Linked DNA regions of Canis lupus familiaris. The protein of the gene in region 2 interacts with the protein of the main gene of each other region in a pairwise test. Links are inferred from orthologs where the notes say so. Each region holds a gene or a part of one and is shown on either strand. Other genes may lie near its edges.

The links.
Region 1: the proteins of GRN (region 2) and OTX1 interact in binary tests that used the Homo sapiens proteins (3 or more experiments, as listed by UniProt). The two-hybrid records come from large-scale screens. The link is inferred for Canis lupus familiaris from reciprocal best matches to the Homo sapiens genes GRN and OTX1.

Annotation. Positions count from the first base shown.
Region 1 is NC_049231.1:64,119,880-64,123,822, reverse strand, and holds the start of OTX1 (homeobox protein OTX1), read right to left. Parts: upstream 2,813-3,943; 5' UTR 2,701-2,812; intron 2,335-2,700; 5' UTR 2,266-2,334; intron 1,055-2,265; exon of another isoform or gene 653-1,054; 5' UTR 543-652; coding exon 446-542; intron 1-445. UniProt on the Homo sapiens protein: Probably plays a role in the development of the brain and the sense organs. Can bind to the BCD target sequence (BTS): 5'-TCTAATCCC-3'.
Region 2 is NC_049230.1:18,952,344-18,954,826, reverse strand, and holds the end of GRN (progranulin), read left to right. Parts: intron 1-174; coding exon 175-272; intron 273-361; coding exon 362-607; intron 608-872; coding exon 873-1,106; intron 1,107-1,208; coding exon 1,209-1,439; intron 1,440-1,535; coding exon 1,536-1,673; 3' UTR 1,674-1,978; downstream 1,979-2,483. UniProt on the Homo sapiens protein: Secreted protein that acts as a key regulator of lysosomal function and as a growth factor involved in inflammation, wound healing and cell proliferation. Regulates protein trafficking to lysosomes, and also the activity of lysosomal enzymes.

The DNA.
Region 1 (3,943 bases), on a different chromosome or scaffold from region 2:
GTGCAGACAGCGGATGTAGAGGACAATTCAATTAGGGAGGGAGAGCCCCTCTTCTTCGTCTCAGCCAGTCACTTCTCATAAGAAAAGCCTGGCCCTTCCTGTCAGGGCCTAGAGAGTGTCCAAATCTCTCTTTCAACATTGGGAGGAAAGGAATAGATTCACACACACACACACACCCCAAAAAAGCCACCCATGAGAAACGAATCCTTGGGTAAGTGGGCCCTGTGCTGGTGGTGGGACCACAAGAGACAGATTGCCCAGCTTCACTGGCCTGGCCTGCCTCATGCACCCGCCACTGCCCTGTGAGCCTGCGGCGTGCAGAGCACTGCAGGCAGACCCGCCATCCCACTCCCCGGGCCTGCTCAGACACCGAGTGTGCGCTCAAACTCAAGAGTCTGGGCGTCCCCAAGATTTGCAGGGGCTGGGGGCAGGGACTGGTGCTCACCCGGGTAGCCCACGGAAGGGTGCAGGAGGTCCATGGCTGGCCCGGCCAGGCCCAGCCCGTTCATGCCATATGGGGGTTGTTTGAGGTAAGACATCATGCTAACAGCCGGGTGGAGGCGCCCGGACGGATCCAGGGGGCCGGGGCCAGGCGCAGTGCGGGGCTCCCACTGCGCAGTCCTTCAAACTCTGCTGCGTCGGGGGGCCCGGCCTATGGAGACAGGAGACACAGGTAAACAGTGACTGGGAGCCATCTCGGTTTCCTGGTCTCGTCGGAGGCGAGCAGCCGGGGGCTGGGGAGGGCACGCAGGCCTGCGGAACTCGGAAGGGCGGTCAGCTTGGCTCTACAAGGCCTTGGCCGGAAGACCACAGCTTCTTTGAAAAGTCAGCTTTTCTGGATCGTCATCGCCTCTTCTCAGGCGTGGAATGGGTAAAAGACCCTCGTAGGGCGTCGCTAGGAGTGCGGAGAGGCTAAAAGCAGGGCCAAGCTGGAAAGTGAGGGCCTAAAACGCCCGGCGTGCAAGGTCCCAAGTCTAGGCCAAATTCTGGTCGGGTAGGAGCCGGCCTCCATACTGCAAGAGCAAACGTTTACTCGGCGCCAGTGAGGCAGGCTGCCCAGGGCACCAGAGGTTGTTTCGTTTCGTTTCAAAATGTTTTTGAAAAGCGGGATGAAAAGGTGGAGGGTCGGGGAGAGCTAAGGTGAGGCGCCGCGGGAGGCTAGCGGCACCTGGGCCTCTCCGGGTGGCAGGGCCCACTTAGGGTGCGCTCCTGCAAGGGTGTCCCCGCTGGGTCTGGGCCCCCGAGCCCACGGCCACCCTGCCAGTTGACCTCCCTGCGCCCGGCCGCGGAGAGGCCGCTCCCCGGGGAGCCCAGCACACCTGGGCCACAGTAACAGGCCCGGGCCCACGGCGGCCAGGAGACGCGGACGCGGGGGCCGCGGGGGCTCCAGGGCGCGGCGGGGGGTCAGGGGCGCCCAGGCCCCGCCGCAGGCCCCCTCCCCGACAACGCCCGCCGCCGCTGCTTTCTGCCCGCTGCTGGCTGCTGGCTGCTGGCTGCGGACAGCGCGGCCCGGGCGGAGGCCGGAGGGCGGCCCGCCCGGCGCCCCGAGGGGTCGCGGATCGGGGAGGCCCGGGCGCCGCGCCCCCGCGTGCTCCCGGCCTATCCCGCCCGCCCGGCCCGCGGCCCAGGACCCTGCCCAGGGCCGACGCGACTAGGCCTCGGCGGCGCAGCTCGGCTGACCCGGGCCGCCAGGTCGAAGCCCGGCTCCCCGCTCGCCTCCCCCCGCGGCGCCGTTCGCAGGGGCAGGGAGTGGAGCTGGGGGGCGCGGCCGCGGCCCCGGGGGACCCTGCGCTGCACCCCGCGTCGCGGGGGATTCAAAGCAGGCCCGGGGCCGGGCTGGGGAGTTCGGGGAGGGCGGGGAGAGCCGGGGCGGCCTCCCGCGCCCCTCCTCCAGGCCCCACGGTCTGGGCTGGCGGACCCCAGCTGGCAGGGAAAGGGGGGCGAAGGAGGGGCAGCCCGGGGCTCCGGGGCCCAGAGAGAGGGGGGCACGCCGGGCCGCCGCGCCTCTGCCGAGCTGCAGCGTGAGTTTCCAGAGACTTTCTTCAAACTTAGCACTTGAGCTCGCTGACTTCGGAGGAGGCGGGGGAGGGGCCGCGGGGCCGCGGCGGGGATCGGGGGTCCTCCGCGCGCCGGGAGGGGAGCCAGGCCGCCCCCCAGCCCCGCCCACCTGCCGGGGACCTGGGAAGCGGGGACCGGCTCGGGGGCCGGGGTGGGAGCAGGCGGCGCGCTCCCGGAGCCAGGGCGGCCCCGCGGCTGTCTGCTTACCTGCCCTCGGCTGCCGGGGCCGCTCACCATCTACCTCGCGCCCTCGCGCAGGCCCGCGGGGCAGCCGACCTGCAAAGACAGAGGGCGCGGGGGTTACTCGCCGGGCCGGACGGCGGGTCCCGGCTCCCCGGGGTTCTTGCTTTCCCCAACTTCCCTCCTGCCTTCTCTTTCTTCCCGGTGGCTTTGTGCGGGTCCCTCCAGGTTTCACTTTATTGCACAGACACTTTGTTTGCAAAGCCCTACGCGTCCCCGAGACACCACGTCGCCCGGGACCGCGCCGAGGGGCCGCAAGGGGTAGGCGGGTGGGGGGTGAGAGGGGCAGCGTTGGGGGGCGGCTCGAGGCTGCAGTTGCAGTCCGGGTGCAGCGCGGAGGCGGCGGGGGCCAGGGGAGTCCCGCCGAGGCACTTTGCGAACTAAATAAATCAAGCGATTTACCTTGTCGGAGTGGCTTGTCTTGCCGGGTTGTTTAGGTGATTGGAAATGTAGCCTGATGAAGATTGATCACCTTTCTACTGCCCTCCCCGGGTATGTGAACGCGAGGTGAGTGCGTAACGGGGCCGTGCTGCCAATCCCCGGCCCCGCGCGGGCTGAGTGACAGCGAGCCGGGCAATGGCAGCCCGAGCCGGGGGTTACCTCCGCGCGCCCCCGCCCTCCTCCGCCCCCTGCACCCCGCCCTCGGCGCCCGCCCGCCCCGCCCCGGGCGCGCGCTAACTCCAGGGCTGGGCTGACAAACGCGGCGCAGAGCGAGGCGAGGACAGCGGCCGCAGCGCCAGGGCCCGTCGGCGGAGGGGGGACGCGGGGCCCGAGGCCGGCCCGGGGGGGGGGGTCCCCGCCCTTCGCTCGCCCTGTCGGCGCCCGCGAGGGAGTGGCGGAGAGGAGACGCGGGGCCGGGGAACCGGTTCCCGGGCTCTCCCGCGCGCCACCCGGCTCGGCGGCGGGGCTGTGCGCTCGAGGAGTCCGGGGCCGCGGGCTGCAGGGCAGTGGGGGCCCCCCCGGCTCCCCCCGGGCGGCGCCCCGGGCCCCAGCGGCCGCCTTCCCCGCGCCGCCACCTGCGGACGGACGCGGCGGGCGCGGGGGCCGGGGGCGGCGGGGGGCGCGGACCCCGCCTGGCCCGCTCGGCCCCCGCGGGGGAGGCCCCGCCGCTCCCCCGCTGCTGCGCGTCCCCCGGGGCCCGCGCGCCCGTCCTCGGCGCGTCTCCCCGGGCGTTGGAGCCCCGCGGCTCCTGCCCCCTTAAGGCGCCCGCTCTCCTCCTGCCCCGGGAGGTCTTAACGGGAAACTTTCCCTTCCGCACCCCGCCTCCTTCGCGGGCGCCCTGCACCGGGGGCGGGGGCGGGGGCGGGGGCGGCAGACGCGGCCACAGACCCCCGGCCTCCGTCTCCTCCTCCCGCGCCGCAGAGGGAGCCTCCTCGGGGCCGTCTCCCCGGATTGTTCGTACTGGCGAAGCCCATTTCCCAGCCGAACTAACTTCTGGAGCCCGCGTACCTGCTGGACGTCTCCAGGCGCCCCCCGCCCCCACCCCCCCAAAAGGGTTTCGCCCCAACCTTGAGCCAGGCGGTTCCTCTTAGGTGGCACCTCCTTCTGAGTATTAGGCACCACTTGGGTCCCTTTCGAGGAATTCCTCCCCGGCTTCCCTAGTCCCCCCTCCCCTCCATCCCAACAGGCGGAGTGAAAAGTTTGA
Region 2 (2,483 bases):
CTGGCACAGCCCCTTTTCCTCCACACTAGTCATTGCCTTTGGGTCACTGCTGAGGTGGCCTAAATATACTCTCCATTCTCCACACCTGGGTCCAGCTGTGGCGCCAGCAAGGGGTTGGGTGTCCTGAGGGCCCCCACAGCCACCGCTGACCTGTCCTCCGTGCCTTTCTCACAGTGCAGGAGGTGAAATGTGACATGGAGGTGAGCTGCCCAGACGGCTACACCTGCTGCCGTCTGCAGTCAGGGGCCTGGGGCTGCTGCCCTTTTGCCCAGGTACCCAGGAGTGGTGGGTGGGCTGGGCTGAGCAGAAAGTGGCAGCCAGCTAGGCCTCGTGCCCATTGTCCCCTGTCCATTCACCCTAGGCCGTATGCTGTGAGGACCATGTACACTGCTGCCCGGCTGGGTTTAAATGTGACACAGCGAAGGGCACCTGTGAACAGAACGCCCCCCAGATGCCCTGGATGGTGCAGGCCCCAGCCCGCCTTCAGCTGCTGAACCCCCAGGCCACAGAGAATGATGTCCCCTGTGATAACGTCACCAGCTGTCCCTCCTCCAATACCTGCTGTCGACTTATGTCCGGGGAGTGGGGCTGCTGTCCTGCCCCAGAGGTGTGTGGGTAGGGGGAGAGCATGGCAGGGGGATGACAGGGTCTTAGCCAAGGCAGGTGGCCAGCCTCCTGTTGCTTTGCTCTTCTCTCCCCTGCCTGGCCCACAGGTGGCACACCAGCTGGGTCAAGTTCATTCCCAGCTGGGGGAGCTGTGAGCAGGAGAGGGAGTCGGGCTAGGCAGGGGCTTAGCTTTTTGTCCCACATGGCAGCTTCCCAGACCATCCTGTTCTACCACTGTCCCCCCTACCCCCCCCCACCCCTGCCAGGCTGTCTGCTGCTCAGACCACCAGCACTGCTGCCCCCATGGCTATACGTGCTTGGACGACGGGCACTGTCAGAGGGGGAGCAAGGTGGTGAGTGGACTGGAGAAGATGCCTGCCCGCCGGGCTTCCCCATCTCACCGCAGGGATATAGGCTGTGACCAGCACACCAGCTGCCCCGTGGGACAGACCTGCTGCCCAAGCCTGAGTGGAGGCTGGGCCTGCTGCCAGTTGCCTCATGTGAGTGCCCCCCCCCCACCACCACCCCACCTGCCCTGCACAGGGGGTCTGAGTCTCCCAGGGAGAGGAGGGGAGAGTTGAAGGCTGCCCTGTCCCTCCCAGGCTGTGTGCTGTGAGGACCGTCAGCACTGCTGCCCAGCCGGGTACACCTGCAACGTGAAGGCCCGATCCTGTGAGAAGGAGGCAGACTCGACCCACCTGGCCGTCCGCCTGGCCCGTGGCCCTCGCGTGGGTGTGGGGAACGTGAAGTGTGGGGAAGGGCACTTCTGCCATGATAACCAGACCTGCTGTCGAGATAGCCGAGGAGGCTGGGCCTGCTGTCCCTATCACCAGGTCAGTGCTCCCTCACCCCTGCCCTGGAGCTGGGTATCCCTGAGAGCCAGGTGCCCCACTCTGACCCCCTGCCCCCACCCATCTGTGGCCGTCCAGGGTGTCTGTTGTGCGGATCAGCGTCACTGCTGCCCCACTGGCTTCCACTGTGGGGCCAAGGGCACCAAATGTCTACGGAGGGAGAGCCTGCGCTGGGACATGCCACTGAGGGACCCAGCCCCAAGACCGCTGCTGTGAGGCGAGCCGAAGGACTATAGAGTCTGCAGCCCTTGGGACCCTGCTCGGAGGGTCCCCACTGCTCAGGCCTCCCCAGCACCTCTCCCCCACCAAATTCTCCCAAGTCCCCCATCCTGAGTCCCACCCCCATCATGGTTGCTGGGGCCTCAACCTAAGGCCTTCCCTATCTCAAGGGAGGCTGTGGCGAAAGCCATGTTACAAGCTGCCATCCCTCCCTGTTTCCGTCTACCCTGTGGCCAGGTGCTCTTCCCTATCCACAGGTGTATGTGTGTATGTGCTGCAGTAAAGTTTGTACACTTTCTTAACAGCGTCTGATTTGACCACCTTGCCTGCCCTACTCTGAGAAGGGCTCCCACCCAGTGTCCGTGTTCCCCAACCCCACAGAAAGACACACACACACAGAGTTAATCTCACCAGTTTTATATTTGCTGTTGCCCACAGCAATCCCATCACACGATCCCCTAGTCCCCAGAGCCGCCCCAGCCACCAGCCCTGTGACATTGTAGCCCAGAGATGGGCTAGTCAGCAAGCAGCACCCCCTCCCCTCCCGGGGGTCCACAGAGAAGGCCCCCTCCCTTCCCGGCCCTCACACTAGCAGCTGAGGCCCGGTCGCCCCTCCTGCTTCCCCACAATAGATCTTTCTATGTACAGCCACGTTTATACAGGCACTGCTTCCCCCCACCCAGCCCTCCTTCCCCAGCACCTCCCCAATGGGGGTCTGGACCCCTCCCACCTCCTCCCTCTTGGAGGCTGACCCGGGTCCCTCCCGAGACCTCACCCAGCACGTACCACTGGACAGCTCCGCAGGCC